2 linked regions of the Alligator mississippiensis genome follow. The protein of the gene in region 1 interacts with the protein of each later gene in a pairwise test. Links are inferred from orthologs where the notes say so. Each region holds a gene or a part of one and is shown on either strand. Other genes may lie near its edges.

Region 1 (10,820 bases):
CATTTAGGGTTACTTTTTTTAAACTGAAAATTGGGGATTTTTTTAAATCAGAGAAAACCAGGATCCATGGTGACAAGAGAAAGCCATAGAGATGGGTTGTTAGTTATTAGGTTGGATGCTAACTAGCCTGAAGGGGTGAATTATGGTCAGAGAAGCTAACAACTGGATCATTCAAGGATCTGATAACCCCAAGGTAAAGCAAGGCTGGAAAGGGAGAGTAGATAACCTGATGGACAGACCTTTTCCTTCTTGACAGACTAGTCTGACAATGAAGACTTGAGCTCACACCTCTTGGAGGTCAACTGTAAAAAGGAAACCCAAACATTTAGGAGAGGAGTAAGCCTCTTCATGCCTAAAAATACTAAGTTAAATATTTCCATGTTCCCTCAATAGATTTATTGTAAATATAAAACAAAACCAAAAATTTAAAAATATATAGAAACCAGTGGATACTTCCTTAGTCTAATATAAAATGTTACAACAAGCCTGGTAACCACACTATTGCCTAAATAAGAGCTAATTACATTCTTTCTTTCTTGAAGTAATGATATATTGTACAAGATGGAAATCTGGGAGGCAGATAATGCTTCACTTACTACCTTCTTTCTATCATCATGGTTCCCCCTTTCAAAATCCTACTTCTTAACCCAAACTTACCTGCACAACCAGAAAAAACTCCAGCTTGTATCTACCATCAAAAGTATAAATCGCTGTTTGAGTCTTAAATATATCAATGAGCTAAAAAAAAAATGTGACCTGCAGTCTTGTCTAAAATCTAATTGACATCAATGGAAACTTTTTTTGATTAAGAATTGCAAGATCATTGTCCCATGTGCATAACATTATTCTTGTTAGGCCTAGATAATGGAAAACTATGGTCTATCAGGGAAATAAAAACATAAAAGTAACTATGTACAATATGCCCTCAATCTACCCATTCATATTTAAATTATTCATAAACAGCTTAGCAAAGATCATAACATTCTTGGCACACCAGGATAGCAAAGTTACATGCTTTGCTCTGTGATCTGCTCTTCTAGTCAGCTAAGGCACTGCAGGTTATGTTTAATACAGAGGAAAGCACAGAAATATAATGGATAGAGTTGAAATCTTTGGTTTATCTGATTGTTGTGAACATTGCACACCATTTAAAAAAGCTGATCTCTGAATCAAATTAAAAACCTTAGTTGAATACAAAGCTATACTATGGTTTTATGAAATGACAGATTTCTGTAAAAGATGCTTAGTCTGTCATAAGCCCTGACCATATATTTATTAAAACAAAACCACTAAGGCCTTAAAATTATAAATATAGACATCTCTTCCACAGATACACATTGCTGAAAATAAAACATAAGGAATAAGATTATGGATTTATTATTATTAATATTATGGTATTATTCCTAGGCTGAATACACACACTTGAACAAACTAACAACCTTCCACTCATGCATATGCTAGTAAGATCAGAGACCACTCAAGCCTAGTGGCCCATTGAACTAGTGTGTTTATGGCACAGCAGTTTCTGTGGCCAGAAGCACACAAGTGAGTCATTCAGCCCCCTTTGACTCCCCTTTCTGAATAAGCCGCTTAAGGCTGAGTCTACTGATGGCAACCTTTGGCACCAGCACAAAACAAGGCTCTAACTCACAGTTCTTGAGCTGTATCAAGCCAACATAAGAGTTCTGCTATTATCTCCCTTTATGCAAACAAGGTAGAAAAACATTAAGAGATTAGGCTTGCTTCTACTCGCATTAATTTCACCGGTGAGGAGAGATGAGAGGGATCAATAGAAAAATGACTTAATTTTCTGACATAGCAAGGATGTATGTTGTTTACCTGTTGTTCTCTGCTAGAATGTTGAACAGTTCTTGACACAGTGGGATTTTAGGACCTTTGTTTATCTTTCTGTGTCACATGCTTGTCCCATCTTTATTACTTTAGATATATAATTGTATTCCACATGTTTCATTTCTATGTGCATATTTTTGGCTTCTGTGGTCAGTAACTTCATTAAGACTGCGTATTGTAACATTAGCGCACACAACTGCACAAAGTAATACAATATTTTGGTGTTCTCTGTTGTAAATATTCTCTCATTTTAGATTTCTAATGGTTCTAGCTGCTAGATGCCTTGGGAAAGAAACTGAAGATCTCAGAATCATATCTTAAAGTTATTTTATTTGATATGTTTTGCTTATCTTGATTTAAAATTCAAATCTGTCTTTTTTATCTTAAACAAGATAAGCCAAATTATATCTAGTTTAAATTACTTTGGCTCCTTACATAGGACAAATCAGTTGTAGAATTGTGCTATATTCATTAAAAAGACATTCTGCTGTGTATTTTATGCTTTAATAAAACCTAGAAAAGACACTTAACATGATTTAAGTAGTTCATGATATAATGTGTGTAACCTTTCTATTTCAGCTTTGTTTGTATTTCTTTCTTGTAATAATTTCTAGTATTTACAGCTACTAGATATGAAGTCACAGTCTGCCTTCTATTGGTCTGGGAAATCAGGGAAGCTGTTTTCAACCAGGAGCCCTGTAGGGTACTAGGCCTATACTGGATTGAGTGCCCCACTAGCCAACTGAAGCCAACACTCCTGAAGGAGACAAGGTTGGAGTTACATTACAACACTGGTCCCCAAAAGACTGGCTAGCACCTGCATTGGTAAAAGGGACAAGAAGAAGCTCTTTTGTGTCTATGCAAAAGGCCAAATACAATACCCCCAACATGGCACCAACTGTCAAAAGCTTACACTAATGACATTTACCAGGCTGTCTTACCTTGAAGTAAAGTGCATTATCTCCCAGATCTCTTTAATGTTTAAAGCATGCAGCACATACAGATATTTACAGTTTAATTCAGTGGTTCCTAAACTGTTTCTAGTTGCTTCCAGTTGTGAGCCACACTTCTGTAAGACTCACACACATAAGCAATTACATTTCTGACAGGCATGTAACTGCCCCTAGTTTAAGCACTGCTGACCTTGTTCTTTGTTAAGAATCTTTGTTTTAGAAATACAAATGCCCTATGAATTCAGTATTAAGATTAAAATTACAATGATTTTATTCTTTAATTGATTAAGTATGAAATATGATAAATAGTAAACAATGTATGCAGTGTTACACAACTACCATGAAGCCAGAGACACCATGCTGCTGCTGACAGAATGATATAGGTTTTATTCTTTTCCCACTAACACCCAGGATAAAACATCCTAAAGTGTTTTCTTGTTTTAAACAACCACTTCCTTACTATCTGCATTTTTAAGTTAACATATCACCTTTTAATCAGTGTTAATAAGCTATAATTACTAGCACTGTGTAGTGTTTACTGCTAAACCTACAATCTGATCCAACAGAAAATTTTCCTGTCAGTGTTTTGGAACAACTGCCATCCCTGATGCACATAGCGCACACTTTAGAGTTGGCAAAGTAAACTTGTGACCAGCATTTTGGAATTTTTTTTTTTTGGGGGGGGGGGGGGGAGTAAGGAAAGCACAGTGTGTCAAGAACCGTGTTTTTTTCCAACCTGGTGGCTGGGGTGACTGGATGGGGGATCTGGGTACAGACTGGGGCACAGGCTCAGGGCTGTCTGGGGAGCAGCTCTGCAGAAAAGGACATGGGAGCTACAATGGACAGCAAACTGAATATGAGCCAACAGTGTGGCCTTGTTGCCAAGGAAGCTAACGGCATACTGGGCTGCATTAGTAGGAGTGTTGCCAACAGATTGAGGGAAGTGATTATTCCCTCCTATTTGGCACTGGTGAGGCCACATCTGGAGTACTGTGTTCAGTTTTGGGCCCCCCACTACAGAAAGGATGTGGACAGATTGGAGAGAGTCCAGCAGATGTCAATGGCAGTGGTTACAGGGCTGAGGGACATGACTTATGTATGAGGAAAGACTGAGGGGACTGGGCTTATTTAGCCTAGAGAAGAGGCGATGGAGAGGGGCTACTCAATAGCAGCCTTCAACTACCTGAAGTGGGGTTCAAAAGATGATGGAGCTGGACTGTTCTCAGTGGTGGCAGATGACAGAACATGGAGCAATGGTCTCAAGTTGCAGCAAGGGAAGTTTAGGTTAGATGTTAGAAAAAGCTTTCCCACAAAGAAGGTAGTCAAACGCTGGAGCAGGTTACCCAGAGAGGTTGTGGACTCTCCACCCTTGAAGGTGTTTAAGACCCAGCTAGACCAAGCCTTGGCTGGGATGAGATAGTTGAGGCTGGTCCTGCTTTGAGCAGGGGGTTGGACTAGATGTGACCTCCTGAGGTCCCTTCCATCCCAAACTTTCTGTGGTTCTCTCTTCTCCTCCCTCCCCTCACTTGGATGAAGACAGACAAGCATCCGCTGTGGGAGTGAGGGGAAGGGGCCCACGCTCAAGATTTCCACGAGGTTTCTTCTGGCAAATCCAAAATCTCCCGAGGAGACTGGGCCTGTGGACGCAGCAAACGGAAACCAGCCCCCCCCCCCGCCAGCGGCTGGATGCCGCCTGCAGCAAGGCAGGGCTCGCGGAGGCCCCGTGGGACCGCGCCACGCAGCGCTCCCAAGCCCGGCACTGGAGGGGGAGGCCCCTGTCTCTGGGGCTGTTCAGGCATTCCCCCCACACCCCCGTCTGCGCCAAGGGAGCATCCTAACCCCCCCCCCCCTCCCCCGGCCGGTCCCGTCGTCACGTGCCGCCCATTGCTCCTCCTGCAGATGCCCGCAGAGAGCCGGAGCCCCCCGCGCCTCCGCACGGCGCAGGGCAGCCCCCGGGCACAGGGACCCGCCTGCCCCCGCCGACACGTGCAGGATGGGGCCGGGACCCCGCCCGGCGGCACCGGCACCTCCATCCATCCATCCCTCCCGCCCGCGGCTGCGGGGCCCGGGCGGCGGCAGGCAGGGAGGAGCGGCGCTGCCCCCGTCCCCGCGCTTCGCGCCGCAGAGGCCGGTACCTCTTGTCCAGGCAGGCGATCCACTCGCCGGAGGACGACGGATGGGACCCGTGAGCAGCCACCATGTCTGCCTTCAGCCGGCTCGCTGCGTGCCCGGGCGGCGGCGGCGGCGGCGGCTCCTCTCCCCGCCTCCTCCCGCTCCTCCCAGCACCGAATGGGCTCGTCCAGGCCCCGCCGCCTCCGCCCGTGCCGTGGGCAGGGCCACCTGGCCGCGCTCCCCCTCCCCGGCCCCGCGCACCTGCCGCCCGGCGCCGCGCCCGCGCTGCAGTGGAGCCGCCGCCCCGCGGGCCCGGCGGGAGCCCGAGGCAGGGCAGGAAGGAGAGCCGCGGGGAGGGCAGCGGGGAGCGCCCCGCGCCCTCGGGGCTCCTCGCACGGAGCCCTAGGACTCTCCGGCCGAGGGGAGCCGGGCGTGCCCTGCCCCGCTGAGGGCCGGCGCCTTGGGCCGGCGTGGGCAGGGGCTGCGTGGAGCATGCGTGGGGGAGGGGGATGGCTCGACTAGAAGAAGTTCCTGCGTCTTTGAGTAACTCTCCAGGGTCCTAACCCAGCCCGCCGCCGAGGTAGGAGCCTAGCCACTGGCATGAGTTGCCTGCGGCAGGGAGAGCTCATTAAGCCAAGCGGGAGGAGGAAGCTGCCGGGAGCTGGGTCCTGACCAGGCAGACACTTTTCAGCCTGTGCCAGTGTGCGGCCTCCCGGGGCCCGTCAGCTGCAGCCACGCTGCCCCCACGGGAGGCAAGGTCAGTCTCACGTGGGTGTGGATCCACAGCAGGGAGCCCCTGGGCTCCCACTCGGGTGCTGCCGTGGGACGTACCCAGAAACCCCCAGGTTTGGGCGAGCTGACTGAGCGGGGGGTGCAGGCTAGAGCGCAGGCTTTTGGCAGCTGACAGCGCACTCACACTGCGGCGAGGACACAAGTTTAATTCACTCAGAGCCTGGTAGTTCTCGCTGCTTTCCCATCATTGGTCCTGGATTGCATAGGACCAATGCACTGCTACTGTGCAAAAGTCATCTGCTATCCGTTCATACTCACCAGTCATCTGCTATCCGTTCATACGGACCGATTCAATGTTTCAATGTCATGTTTACCTACGTGGCACTGACAAGGATGTAGGAACTCAGCTGCCAGCTGGCCAAATGGTGACATGGAGGTCCTGATAGACCTTGGCTGTGAGGCCAGGAAGACCCAAAAACCTGTGAAAATGCAGATTTCAGGTACACTTTTACAAAGACATTTGTAAAAAGCCAACAGAGAAAGGGATTCAACGGCAAGAACTCAGTAGGGAAGAAAATAGAAACCATTAACAAGCACAAAATGGAAGGCTAAGGACTGCAACTCCAAGTCTGGCAGTTCCTCAAGGATGTGCCCATTCTGTTGGAAAGCTGGACCAAGTGGTCAGCAGTGATGAAAATACTGATTCTCTTAGGCTAACCCAGGTAGTACTTATATTGGACTGGGGCCAGAAGGACTCCAGAGCAGAAGAGCATAATTAGTAACAGTTCTGCTCTTTCTCCCACATGAATGCAATCCCACAAATGCCAATTAAAAATAAATTAAAGCACTTCCTACTCTTGTCAAAATAAATTGGATTGATAACTCATTGATAAGCAGCTGATGAGCAGAGAAATGGGGAACACTGAATGCCAATGAGATAAAAGTTGCAATGTTTCCCTTGCTCTGTCCCAAAGTTAAAGAGAAGCAACTTCCCTTTTTGCCCTCTTACCAGGAAAATATTATGCTCTGGCATTGCATTTCAGGGCTATCTAGGTGAGGAAAAGGTGCCTAGCCATGATGGCACTGACTTTTAGTGAGCGTGTTGAGACCCCCCCCAGGGTAAAGAAAGGTCAGGAGCAATTTGCTGCAGGAGACACCATAGGACATTGCTGACAGGCTGGAATACAAATTCCATGATGGGACAGACAGAACCAAGCTGAAGCTGAGAGGATGCTGAAGAACCATGACCATGCCATGAAGAAGCAGTGCCAATGGTTGCAGCTTAGCAGCAGAACATGACAGCACAGTCCCCAGCCCCTGCCCTCATCTGCTCCAATATTCTCCTTTGGGTGATAACCCATAGACAAGTCTGGGTGGGGAATGAACCAGTCAATGCACTTTATGAATAGAAAATGTGTCTAGTTCCCACCAAACATGGCTAGAGCAAAGCTTGCTTATAATTCACAATTCCATTACATGGAATATTATTCTTCTTAATTTTATATTTTGGTTTGGTTATACCTTCTCTTTAGTATAAAGACGACTGTGATTTTTTTTAAGTTATTTTGTGTTTCAGTCTCTCAGTGTGACTGTTTGAAAAACAGGAGAGAATCAGGAAGTTCAAAATAAATATAAGTGAATAAAATATAAGGTTAGTAATCTATAATATGCATTCTACAGGTAAATTGATACACCACACTTGTTTTGTGCTCACATTATTCTACCTTATTTACATTATTCCACATTATTGTAATTCTTCCTCCAAAGGAATTATTTAGCTCTTATTGCCCTCACTGTCCTGGACACAACTCCAGTTATCAGAAATGAACTTTCTGGTTGCCTGTACCAGGCCTATAAACTAACATACACATCAGCCCATCACTAGCAAAAGGTTTCCCTTTCCCCTGGCATTGTATGATTGGGGTGTGCTGTGAGGAAAAGGGGACATAAACACACACATATTTTATATATAGCGTTTATTTCTGATTAATTCTATATGGTGCAAAACTACCCTGCCTTCTGCCTGACTTTAGATTAATATGGCTGACTACTTCTCTCTGCTCATTTTATATATATATAGGCACCCAAATAGTTTTTTTCAACAGCACCATCTTGCCTTCCTGTCAGCCAACTGCACATTTCACCACAACCCTGCAACTGCTCACTGTCCAATTACCTGTCCAAGGACTTTTCTTTTACCAGGTCCTCTCACATTTGAGTAAGACTTCCTGAACCAGCACGGTGAATAGACTATGTTCACTAAAATACGTGGGAATGGTCACCTCATTTATATCCAGATTACTGATGAGGGACACTGGCGGGAATATTTGAACACGTGGCGCATGGGCCAGGTCCCGGAGGACTGGAAAAGGGCCAATGTGGTGCCCATTTTCAAGAAGGGGAGGAAGGAGGACCCAGGCAACTATACAGTCTCACATCCATCCTTGGCAAAGTCTTTGAAAAAATTATCAAGGCTCACATTTGCGAGAGCCCAGCAGGAAAAATTATGCTGAGGGGAAACCAGCACGGGTTCGTAGCAGGTAGATCATGCCTGACTAATCTAGTGTCTTTTTATGACCAGGTTACAAAACACCTGGACGCAGGAGTAGGGGTTGACATCATATACTTAGACTTCAGGAAGGCCTTCAATACGGTATCCCACCCCATACTGGTGAACAAGTTAAGAGGCTGTGACTTGGATGACTACACAGTCCAGTGGGTGGTGAATTGGCTGGAGGGTCGCACCCAGAGAGTCGTAGTGGATGGGTCGGTATCGACCTGGAAGGGTGTGGGCAGTGGGGTCCCGCAGGGCTCGGTCCTTGGACCAATACTCTTCAATGTCTTCATCAGCGACTTGGATGAGGGAGTGAAGTGTACTCTGTCCAAGTCTGCGGATGACACTGTCATAACCCAATGATTTTTAGTGCCTCGGCACATTGGAATTTTCCCGCCACATGGAGCTTTCTTTGCATGGTGGATTTCTCAGCTGCAGAGAGAAAACCCCGGTGCAAAAGAGTTCCCGCCACACGTATGCAAATTTGTGTCCCACTATTGGTCAATTCTAAATTATTCCTACCTGGCAGCTAGCGATTGGTTTGCTAGCCGTATAAAAGGTTAGAGTAGTTTCCACCCAAGTTGGAGGACTCCACAACCATCTCATGGGGAACTCTAAGTGCACTGTGGAGCCTAGCAAACTCCGCGTGTGTCTTGGAGGAGGACTTAGGGACCTGATCAGACTCTAACCAGTCCCCGTCATCGTGGAAATATTGACGTACCCCCGTGTTGAGCGCTTGTGGAGTCGTACACCGATGACTCATCTCGGTTCGGTTCGAAGAGAGATCTCACCCCTGTGTGTTTGTGTGCAACTGTAATTCAAGCAAGTTTTCTTCCTGCACTGTGACCATTGGCAGTGTAAGTAAAGCTTTCTTTATACAACCAATACGCTTCCGTGCCTAACTCTATTCCATCGTGGAAAATACCCACCTGACAGTCCGGGCTACTGGCCATAGCCTTAGACCGCCCTCGGCTCCCACAGACACAAAAATGTGGGGAGAAGTACACACTCCAGAGGGCAGGGAACAACTACAAGCAGACCTGGACAGGTTGGACAAATGGGCAGAAAACAACGGAATGCAATTCAACAAGGAGAAATGCAAAGTGCTGCACCTAGGGAGGAGAAATGTCCAGCATACCTACTGCCTAGGGAATGACCTGCTTGGTGGAATGGAAGCAGAAAGGGATCCTGGAGTCCTAGTGGACTCCAAGATGAACATGAGTTGGCAGTGTGACGAAGCCATCAGAAAAGCTAATGGCACTTTATCGTGCATCAGCAGATGCATGACGAACAGATCCAAAGAGGTGATACTTCCCCTCTATCGGGTGCTGGTCAGACCGCAGTTGGAATACTGCGTTCAATTTTGGGCGCCACACTTCAAGAGGGATGCAGATAACCTGGAGAGGGTCCAGAGAAGGACCACTCGTATGGTTAAGGGCTTGCAGGCCAAGCCCTATGAGGAGAGACTGAGGCACCTGGACCTCTTCAGCCTCCGCAAGAGAAGGTTGAGAGGTGACCTTGTGGCTGCCTATAAGTTCATCACGGGGGCACAGAAGGGAATTGGTGAGGTTTTATTCACCAAGGCGCCCCCAGGGGTTACAAGAAATAATGGCCACAAGCTAGCAGAGAGCAGATTTAGATTGGACATTAGGAAGAACTTCTTCACAGTTAGAGTGGCCAAGGTCTGGAATGGGCTCCCAAGAGAGGTGGTGCTCTCCCCTACCCTGGGGATCTTCAAGGGGAGGTTAGATAGGCATCTAGCTGGGGTCATCTAGACCCAGCACTCTTTCCTGCCTATGCAGGGGGTCGGACTCGATGATCTATTGAGGTCCCTTCCGACCCTAGAATCAATGAATCTATGAATCTATGACATAGTGGTCTTCAACTTTTCACAGTAATGAGTACATTGCAGCCCCCCCAAATGGCTTGCTAACAATTAACTGATTAGGCACCATGATCTAAAGGGTTGGAATAACTTTGTGTTTTTTGGCATTCAAGAGCCAGAGTAAACTCCTCACCAAGGCTCCTGGAAAGTAAACTTCTTCAGCAAATGTTATGGAGCTATTGCTGGTAATCTTAAATCTGCCTAGTGATGTAGTCCCACCACTTCACGCTTGTGGTCTTGCTCCAGAAACACCAGTCAGCACAGGAGGGATCCACAGTTATTACAACTTGCATCAGTGATCTCCCTTCTTCCATGGGTATATGCAGCCTCAGCAAGTCACTGTTTCTGAAATAATAGTTGCACTAATACAAAATTTGGAATAAGTCATGATTCTGAGTCAGATCCATGAACCTTACTACCATGTCTTACCACCAGCTATGGACAGTAGTAGAGAAAATGCCAACCTGGAAGTAAGTTACTTTCCTGAGCCAGTGGGTTAATGAAAAAAACACCCCAAAAAACATGAGATGTGTCCCTACCTATCCTAATGTCTCAGCTGGATACATGCGATCACCCTGTGGATGCAGGAAAAAGTAGGACTTAAGTATGAATGCTGGACAAGTTACCATATTTAGACCTGGGATAACTCTTCAGTGAAGATGTACTTGTTCTGGAGCAGCCACTATAGTGGCACTTAAATTCAGTTTGCAGTGGATTATACAACTATTTGTTA
Region 2 (10,993 bases), on another chromosome or scaffold:
GCCAGATACCTACCAAGATGTATGCTAGATAAGCAAGTCCATAGAGACTACTTATATTAATCTTTTGTGCAAATAAGGTAACCATAACATTAAATTCCCTCTTATTTTAGAGCAATTTATGCAGACTGGGGTAGGAGAGAACACCCCCTATCATTTGAAACAAAGAAATACAGGTTTTATATTTCATCTATCTGGACTAGACTAGGAAGGTACTTTTTTTACTACTTTTGATTCTTTCACCTTCTTTATGTTTTCTTTTCAAAATTAGATGAAAGATCAGAAGCAATATACATCTTTTCAGCTATGCTAATGAGGTTTTTCTGGGATCTCAAAAATAGACTGTGACTAATAATTTTCAAAATGGTTCTGCTGATATCAAGAGGGTTTTTTTCAAGGAGTCAACTGTAACTAGAATATGTTTAATGTTGTTTCTTATCCCACCTAGAGTAATATTAATACTTAAGGATTTTTATATCCTTCAATCACAATAGCGTCAGTAGAATTATTCATAATATATAAAACTAATATGATTAAAGTGCTATTTTTATGAAGTTTTTTGTTTCTTTAGATTTTTTGAGGGTTAAGTTCTTAAGAAGAAGTGAATATTGTTTAGTGACATTGAGGTAATTTGGTTTTCTTTTTCTTTTCCAATTAATTGACATTTATCTGAAATGATAGGTAATAATTGAAAAATGTAAAATGATTTTTAGTACACATGAACTCAGTGCTGTCAGCTACATTGTCTTCATGCTTTCTGTGCTTCTTTTTTAGTCTGTTGTGGAAGAGGTCAAAGCAGAACTGAAGTAGTCAAAGAATGAAAAAGTTTATTTTGGGTGATAATGGTCTGGCACTCTGAATGTATTAGTGTGTCTGAATTCTTTCCCTGATTGCAATCTAAGCAGCCAATGCCAATAAATACACTGAGTGACATTTTTAAATGTATAGTGTGTCTTCCGGTTGGGAGCTGCCTGACAAATATTTATTATTTGGTTAAACAAAGAGTAATTAAGCTTCTAAAGGAAAAAAAAAAGAAAAGTAATTGTGACCTCCTATGGCTGAGCTCAGCAGGATCTAGTCATAGCTTCCTCCTGAAAGTCTGAGTCACTCTCAGATGCTGAGCCAATTTTCCCTCCCTCTACTCCCAATTCCCATTTCTAACCACCATGAGCAAATGTTATCAGAATCAACACAGATTTTTTTTTTAAAAAGCTCAGACTTTGTACAAGGTACTTCTGCATTTCTTGGAAGTTACAATCACGTTTATTGTGCCATCGATCCTACAAATAAAATTCATGGCATATACTAAATCTGAAGCCTTATTTGAGCAGATTGCAGCTCATGAGATGCTTAATCACTTCTGTTGTTGCTAATCATTTTTGCCCCGGGCACTTTAAAGATTTATGACATTTTTTCAAACAGCCTTCAATTTTGCCTGTCAATTTTTCACCTCTAAATATTTGAGTGTGCACCCTCAGACTTTAAATTGAAAATTCAAATTAAATTGAATTTGTATAAATCAAACTATGCAGTAACACATTTTCTGATGATATACTAACATTTATGGTGAGAGATATCTCTATATATACCTCTCACCATATATAGGAGCTGAAGGAGCTAGGCAGGTTCAACTTGTGAAAAAGGTGCTTAAGAGCGGGTGCTGTAGTGGGGGCTGTGGCCCTATACCTGGGATCTCTTGAGCATATATTGACAACCTTTCATAGAAGCAGGACATTGGCTGCCATGGTCCCCTGCTGTACCTGTGGCAGGTAAGAGCATTAGGTCTGTATTGTCAGGGCTGAAGGTATTCTTATGTAGCATTTGGATTTTGGTTTGTATGGGATGGTTAGGTTAGGGATGATCCTGCCTCAGGCAGGGGGTTGGACTAGGTGACCTCTGGAAGTCTCTTCCAGGCCTGTTTCTTTATGATTCTGTATCCTTGTTAGTATGCAGGCTTGAGGGGCTACACATGCCTGTTTTCACTGTTTGTGGGCTTGGGTTATACGGTTTGAGGTTACAGCGTGCAGTTGAATAGGGCAAGTGGATCAGATTTCGTGTCCTCCTGGCCCTCCCTTCCAAATTTGTGAAGTTTGTACGCATTTAAATGTTGTCAACAACAAATCATACAAAAGTGACTAAAGGGACAGCCCTCATCTTAAACTGTGCAGAGGTCTGCAGTGTACTGGCCCTCAGTTTTAGCATCAAGTTGGCGTAAGTAGAAAGAGTAGGAGTACTGCAGACAGCAATTGTCCCCTGGATGCATCTGAACTCCCAGGATTCTGGGTCTGGGACTTGCATGTAGGATGCCAGCCTGGATATAGAGAGCATCTGAACTCTTGGACTTGCAGGCCTGGGACTTGTATATATGCAAGGGGTTGGACTCGATGACCTCCTGAAGTCCCTTCCAATCCTAATTTTTTAGAATTCTGTATTCTGATGTTTAAACCTGCTGAGTGCGGATGCCTAGAACCTAAATTTTCCACTCTTCCCACTCCCACAGTAAAAGCTGGTGCCCCAAAGAATACATAATTCAAATAGACAAGATGACCGCATTGTAAATACTATTATGGCCATTTTTCCAAAAGGAAAACTGGGGCACAAAAGTACTAAGTAACTTGCAGAAGGAAGTTAAGCAGATTGTAGAAAATTAACATAGGCCTGCTTAATCCCAGCGCAGTCACCTAACCAAAGATAGCTTCTCAGAGCTGAAGATCACGTTTGTAACTCTTCCTTCCAAAAAGGATGCGTACTCATGATGCAGATGCTAATATCGCTGTTGGCAGCATTACTTTAATCTGTGCTGAAAGGCAAAATCAAGATCTGACTTTGTGTGTGTTTGGTGCAGATCAGATGGGACAATGCACATTTTAATTTTTCCGCTATACAATTCTTTTGTGTGAACTGAATCTGGAAAGACTGCCTTGATGAACAATCTGAAATAATCAGCAAACCAAACAGGAATATATATTTTACCATGATGACAGCTCAGCTTCTGGAGCTTTCTGTTGCTAAACAGTATTAAAAAAATTACAGGAAGAAAAAAGACAATTTTTTGTTCCATGAAAGACAATGGAAATGTTACCATTAACTTCCCTGAGATTAGAAGTCTTAATATTACCCAGAGAAAATAATGACAACATAGAACTTGTCTGTTTGGTCATCTCAACTTATCTACATTACCTGAAAGGGGTTCCAAAGAGGATGGAGCTGGACTGTTCTCTGTGGTGGCAGATAACAGAACAAGAAGCAATGAGCTCAAGTTGCAGCAAGGGAAGTTTAAGTTGGATATTAGGAAAAACTTTCTCACTAGGAGAGTAGTAAAGCACTGGAATGAGTTACCTAGAGAAGGTGGAATTTCCATTTCTGGAGGTTTTTAAGGCCTGGCTTGACAAAGTCCTGGCTGGAATGATGTATTTGAGGATCACCCTGCTTTGAGCAGGGGGTTGGACTAGATGACTTCCTGAGGTCCCTTCCAACCCTAATTTTCTATGATTCTATATCAATGATGACATCTCTATCTCAGACTGGACACAGCTTAGATCTTTATTGCATGTACACTTCACCAATATTTTAGATACTTTTTTTTCATCAAAAACCAAGAGCATTTCTTGTTTGATATTTGATATACATCTCAACTTTCACACATCTGCACAGGAAGGGGGTGGGCACACTGATGTCATACAACTTTTATGTCTCTAGCTTTGTAACTTAAAATTCAGTTATACTTTATTGGCATGATAATTATACAAGTGTTGTCAAAAAAACAGACAGACTTCCTCTGGTGTCTAGACAAATGGTGGGGGTATACACAATTTTGCATGTGATACTCTGTGTTATCATCTGTCTACTAGGGGTGTGCGAAGTGGGCCCTATTAGATTTGGATTTGGATTCAGCCCAAATCAGGGACTATTTGATTCGTTGATTCAGATCACTGTCCCCGATTCAATTAGGCCAAATCCGAATCTGAAGATTCGATGCTGATTCGGAGAATCAGCGATGCAGACATAGACACAGCTTTAAAAGTTTTTTTTCTACATACCTTGAGGTAGCAGGCATGGCTCGTAATTGCTGCGATGTTGGGGCAGATGGAGCGTCCCGCAGGAATGCAGGGGGGCGCTCAACGTGCTCAGCAGTGAACCCAGAAGTGTACTGGAAGTACTTCTGGTCCACTTCCGGGTATGCCGGGGAGTGCACAGGGGGCCCCCCTGCACCCCCCTGGCTCAGTGATTGGCTACGGGGGGACCCTGGGTGCCCCCCCCCAGTCCCAGGAAGCACCAGTCACTGAGCCATGGGGGGCCAGGGAGGGCTCCCAAGCACTCTCCCCAGTGGACCCAGAAGTGGACTGGAAGTGCTTCTGGTCCACTTCTGTGTCTGCTGCTGAGCACGCTGGGGAGCCCCCCACACTCCTGTGGGATGCTCCATCCATCCCAGCACTGCAGCATTCATGAGCCCCTGCTACCTAGAGGTATGTAGAAAAAACATTTAAAGCTGTGTCTATACCTGAATCTCCAAATCTTTCCGAATCTCTCCGAATCGATTTGGAGGATTCCGATTCGATTTGGAGAGATTAAAGGGTTCTCTGATTCTATTCGGATTTGGAGATTTGGCCATCGAATCGGACTGAACTGGGCCAAATCTCTGCTGAATGAAATCAGGGACCGAAGCTTCATACAGCCCTACCGTCTACTCCTCGTGCGGTGGCAGATTGCAGAGCTTTGTGGTGCCACCTGTGCAGTCATACCCAGTTGTTTTAAAAGACATGGGGTCAGTGTCTTCAGTACAATGGGGTTTTAAAAGCAAACCTTAGCATTTGCTCATATAACACTGTGGTATTGTCCATGATCACTATTATTCTTTATTACTTATGTGTCTCTGACACTTTATGATGCCATGCTTATAGGGAGCTTACAGTTTAAGGAAGAGGATTGTGTGATAAGGTGTAATGATTTCAACTATGAGATGTAAAAGATCAACCAAAAGTTTGTTGAGGTGTTGAGTCACAGCAGGGATGGATTTGGTCAGTTGGATTAGACAAATCCAGGGGCAATGACCCTGACACTGCACAGATTTATGTACATGCTTATCTTTTAACAATATGGGGTTTGATCCTATGCTCAGTGAAGTCAGTTTTCTAGCTGCTGTTGATGTCAATAGTTCAAGATCTGGTACATTCATATTTAGTGCGAAGTCTTTGATATCAGATTGATACAAAGTGTATAATGATCTCTTTTTGTCCCACTGTATCATGCAGCTCTCATTTTGCATTATCTAGTCAAAACAATATTCTTTTTAACACACAAAGGGTTCATCTTACTGGGCACACTGAGTGCCCCCAGGAGATTTGGAGCGGCATCTACTCCCACAGCTATCAATAGGTCTTATTTTTTTCCTTTTTTTCTCTCCTGAGTTAATTTAATATACATATTTTAGGAAACTTTATTTGAGCTGCTCATCTGGGATGGTGTTTAGCAGTAATTGCAGTGTGTGGGAGCTTTCCAGTGACTTAACTGGGAGCAGGTTCGGTATCAGTTTCTCCCACAAGTAGTGGCACTTTAGTTGTGGGTGACCCCCTGGTTTACAGCTCACATCTCAGTTTATGACTTCAGATCCTCCGAAATGCCCAACGTGGTGGCTGTTGTTTGCCTCCATGCAAAAGCTTTACTGATGCGTTACCTCTGTGTGAATGCTTTCCTCAACTAATGCTTTATAGTGTATATCGATTTGCAGCACAGAAAGTGGCCCATTGTGCAAATATTGGCCGTGGCCACGAGCAGGGGTCCCAACAACCCTACAGAAGCACAAAGGGGCTGTTTTGAATGCAACCGATGGAGCAATATAATGAACAATGACTTAAACAGAAATGATACAATGACCTTTGAAGAAAAGATGCAACTTCACTCATTGGGCAATTCTTCCCTGTTTGCCTCAGCTAGCTCCAACCTTGGCGTTAGTCCTGACTGCTCTCTGCTGACATCTCCTTTGTCTGCAGCACTGCCCATAGCTGGCACGCTCTTCTCTGGGACGCGGGGGGCCGCTCCCGGGGTCCCTTCCAGCCTCACGGCTGGGTGCCTGCCCGCTCCTGCCTGCCGGGACACCACAGCCGGACGGGGGCCGGGGCCGGGGCCGGGGCCGGGGCCGGGCCGAGCAGCCCCGCCCCGCCACGTGGGTGCGGGACGCGGGAGCTCCCGCCCGCCCCGGCGCAGCAGCCAGCTCGGCGCTGGCTGGCGGCGGCAGGCAGCTAGCCATGGTGGGGCTCAAGGAGGAGCTGCTCAAGGCCATCTGGCACGCCTTCACCGCGCTCGACCTGGACCGCAGCGGCAAGGTCTCCAAGTCCCAGCTCAAGGTGAGCGGTCCCGCCCCGACCCGTGGGGCAGCCCGGCTCCCACCCCTCTCTGATCCGGCAGGCACGACATCCCCGCCCGCTCCCCTGGCATTTGTCTGCTCCGGCCGCCTGCAGGCCTGGAGCTGCCCGGGGCCGCCGCGCTGCTCCTCCCTCCCTCCCGCACGTCCCGCAGGAGAAGTGGTGGAGAGGCGCCAGCCGTGCTGCGCCTTCTTCCCCGGGCTCCGAAGCCCTTAGTCAGAGGAGAAGTAGGGTGGCCGGTTGTAGCCGCCCTGGTCTAAGGCAGGGGTTGTCAGTGTTTTTGGTCAGGGTGCCAGAAACACCCACAAACTTGACCTGCAAGAGGTTGGCGTGCCGGGGAGTACCGGAGGGGAGCCATCACGGTACTTGGGGTCGGAAGGGACCTAAACAGATCATCAGGTCCGACCCCCGTGAGGGGCCTGATCCTCGTTGTGGCAGGGCCCGAGGGGAAAGCTCCAAGCAAAACGCCTTTGTGCGCCATGCTCTGGCATGCGTGCTAGGGGTTGCCTACCCCTGGTCTAAGGACATAGGCAGGCGAGGCTCTTTGGGGAGCTGTGGTATCTTTTATTGGGCCAACTCAAATACTTGAGTTTGAGTGTGGGGAAAGATGTCACCTCTCCCCAAAGAACCTTGCCTGCCTGTTGGGGAAGTAGGGCTAGTGGGGACCTCCAGAGGGCATCCAGTGTGAGCCCTGGCCTGAGGCAGGATCAACTCTGTTCAAACCGTCCCGTACAAATCATAATCTTAAACTCTCAACCCGACCCACCCTACCCTGCCGTCGGTCAAGCAGGGGACCCAGGGCAGCCAACGTCCTGCTTCTATAAAACGTTGTCAGTATACACTCAAGAGGTCCCGGGCAGAGGGCTGCACCCCTGCTATAGAGGAAGGCAAACCCCCCTATTCCAGTCTGACCCTGGGGTGAAATTCCTTCCTGACCCCAAATACAGCAATTGTTGCTTGTGCTCCTCAAAGAGCTCAGGCAGCTAGCTCACTGTACCTGATCCCAGCCAGGCTTTGCAGGCTGGAGAAGAGGAGGAGGAGTTGGGCTAGATCAGCGGTTCCTAAACTGCGGGTGTGACCTCAGATTGGGTTGCAATATCAATGGATGGGGTTGCGGGGGTGGGGGGCTATGCTGAGGAAATGGGACCATAAATGGGGTCAGGCTGACAAAAAAGTGTGGGAAGTATTGGGCTATATGAATATCCTGAATAGGAACAGTCCACCTGTTGATAACTGGAGCTGTAGATGATTGTGTTGAAGGCTTGTGGGCAGGATGAGGATTAACCTGTAGCGGGAAGAAGGCTTGGCTAATGGCTTCCTGACTGACTGCATTCAGTGCCACACAACTTAATTGGATTCATAGCGCATGTGGAGTGTTGTAGCTGTGATGGTCCAGGAAATGTGTATCTAAGGTCTCCCAATTAAGCAGCTGGTTCAATAAAAGGTGTCACTTTAAAAAAAAATCCTTGCCTCTAGGAAATGGAATCACTGCCTTCCTACTGTGCTGCTATAGCATCAGCACAACTTAAAGATTGAACCAACACCTCTTTACCCTTCACAGCAGCTCTTGGGAAGGCCCAGTTTAACTTCAAGTGAGAGTTTTTGTGTTAGACAGGAGGCAGAATGTGGCAGAACTGCTTGAGTTACAGCTCAAGTTGACAGGGTAATGGAGATAAGCTCTAGGCCAGCTCTAGCCTCCATAGTTCCTCCAGGAAACACTAGACTCTCTCTGTTCTGCAGCAGGGTCAATAAGAGTACTACAGTGGGAAACCTGGGGCTAAATTAACTTGGTTGTAGAGACAAATATTCTAATTTTTTAGGTCTAGCATGACTTCTGGAGGACTCCTGTTTTCTTGATGTGGCACTAGTCTTTGCTCTATCCTGTCTTGATATGCATGTCCAGAGCTGTGTTCTCATCTGCACTGCAATCTCCAGGGGTGGTTGTAGCTCTTAGAGGCATGCCAAAGCTTTGATCTAGCCAACTGAAGTAATACATGTAATGAAAACAGTGGTCTAGGCTCTGGGTGTGAGCCAGCCTCCCTAAGATGCAAGGTCACAGATGAGCTTGTATGGCTTACTCTAAAACCCATGAAACTGGATCTTTGTTGCTGCTCTTCCCTGGGTTGGGTCAAGCTCAGAGATGCCTTAGATGTTGCAATTGTATTGCCTCATTACAGTGTATGCTGTCTCCCTCCTCTAGTTATGTTTTGCAGTAGCTGTTCCCCTTTACTCTAATTATTCTGTCTTGAGTGTAGGAGAGCATAAAGGAAATGGTTTTGTCCTCTTTGACAGTTTTCCATAAAGTAAGCATGTTGGGTACTGCTTATGTTAAATATAATTATCTGCTCTATTACTTACAGAACATTCTCTTAAAACTTTTCGGTATTTGTAATACTTCTGGAATAAAAAAATTAGCTTTAGTCTTTGCAGTGCACCAAGCAACATAATTGAAGGTACTGGCTTTCTGCTCAGAAATTAATATTTCAGGGTCATTACCCTATGATCTCATGTTCAAATTGGAGAGCCTTAGTTTTAGCATTTACTCATGAAAATAAAATCAGATTAACAGCCAGTTTGAGAGGTCATTAACCAGTGAAAATAAGGAGTTCATATACTGGCCCTATGAGATTAGTGTTCCGGATTGGAAAAGTGAGGAGTGTGCTCCATGTACTCTGGATAACTAAAAATCGTTCCTGTCTAATCTAGGGGTAGTAGATTGTACAGGGAAGACATTTTATTATAATGATACTATTTTTTTAGTGCTACTAGACTTATAATTTTTTTCTAGTGTTATATTGTAGGACACAGTGTCCAGGTAACATGGCAGTGGGTATGCTGAAAAATTGATTGATTGGTAGATATTTGAAGAATTAGGAGGAAATATGTTTAATGTTGACAAGATTCTGCTGCCAAAAAGTGGTGTAGAAGTCTGGTGAAATAACTCTGTTTTCTAAGAACAAGATGTAAATATTTACTACTTGCAAGCCTACCATTCACAAAAGGAAGGAAAATCAACTACATATAAACTTTCCTTCTTTTAAGTGTAAACTAATTGGGGATGGTTCTCTAGTTGTGCATGCCTGTATAATGCCCTCCTATTAATATTGTGTTCAGCAGTGAAATGTTCCGGTATTTGTGCAGGAAACAAAAGCTTTTTTGGACAATAGGGTACAATGCTGATCCATTAATTTTATTGCAAATGCAGTACAGCACTATTTCTGAAAAAAAGGCATTCTAATTTATCTTCCCAGTTATTGTGTTTGCCTTCCAGAAGTGACATTTTAATATGGAATAAAAATGGGCATATGCAGTAGAGGTGTGTATCTCTTATGTTGACAGTAACTGAATGTAACTGAAGTAGAAAGTACTGTAATGGAAACAAGTTGGCTGGTCCTTTCATTCCCCTACTGTATTGTCTGGAGAGGAGCCAAGCTCATGTGATTCATGAGGCAGTTACTTGTATGAAATCTCCCTCGTCCCTTATCAGCTAACAATTTAGTTCTGTTGTCTCTCAATTTACTAGTAAAGAGCCTAGGAGTGAACAGAGAAGATGTAGTTCTTTACTCCTATTGGTGAGTCTTTTAAGTGAAAATATTGGTGTTACTAAAGCAAAATCAGTACTCCAGTGTAGTTTAAAATTTTCTCTTTCAACACACACTGATTTTTTTTTTTAATCAGTATTTTGCCATTGCACCAATAACTAATTTTTCTCCAAATCAGCAAAAAAATTAAGCTCTTACGCTGCTTCTTGTTCTTAAGTTATGCATGCTAAATATAAACAACATCATTGTTTTGTTCATATTGCCCATGCTCTTTCACATGCCAATACAGCAAAACCACTATAACTTTTGTGGATGTAATTATGGCTTCAGTTTTCTAAGGTGGTTGTAGTAGGAGCTACAGGCAGGCACTTGTATTGCTATCTTTACATCTGATCTAATCTTTTTTGCACACTGTAGTGTCTAAATATGTGAATTTTTTTAGAATTAAAATGTTTTATGTTGTCAGTTGGTAATTTTGGAAAGTACTCCCAGTGCTTCCTGTTGGACTTTGCTAAGTTTGCTTGTAGTATTAAGTGCTATTCTGGTAGTGTAGCAATGGGATTGAATTTGAACAGCATCCCTAAACTGTGTTGCTCCATGCTAGAGAGCACCACCATGAAAACATGCCTGCCTCCACAGTCCATCTTCACATGTATGAAATGCCAAAAATGTCATGTACAGTAACTGCTTTTTGGGGGAGGGGAAGGCAGGCTTAGCACCACTGTAATGACCTATGAGACTTTTTTTCAGCATGCAGTCGAGGAGTAAGTGAGGCATGCCTCGGTGACACTTCCCTGGTGTGGCATAGATGTGCCCTGAGAAGTTACATAAGTTGAACTATATTTACAAACTATATTCACATAACCATTTCTTGATATTTTTTTTGTAACTATTTCTTATCATGTTCTCTCTCTCTCTCTCTCTCTTTTTCTGTCAGTGGTCTAGATCAGCAGTCAGCACACTTCATGTGCTGTGTACAACCTTCATAGGTTGTGGGCTATAACTCAGGTCAGAGTTGAGCAGGCACTAAAACTCAGCTGCTGCTGCTTTCTGCACCCGTGTGGAGAAAGCTCCATTATCCTTGGCTTGGAT

What was found.
Region 2: the proteins of RAPGEF4 (region 1) and SWAP70 interact in a two-hybrid assay, tested with the Homo sapiens proteins (2 studies listed by BioGRID and IntAct). The link is inferred for Alligator mississippiensis from reciprocal best matches to the Homo sapiens genes RAPGEF4 and SWAP70.

Annotation. Positions count from the first base shown.
Region 1 is NC_081827.1:211,586,441-211,597,260, forward strand, and holds the start of RAPGEF4 (rap guanine nucleotide exchange factor 4), read right to left. Parts: upstream 5,040-10,820; 5' UTR 5,005-5,039; coding exon 4,940-5,004; intron 1-4,939.
Region 2 is NC_081825.1:198,047,838-198,058,830, forward strand, and holds the start of SWAP70 (switch-associated protein 70), read left to right. Parts: upstream 1-6,174; 5' UTR 6,175-6,242; coding exon 6,243-6,341; intron 6,342-10,993.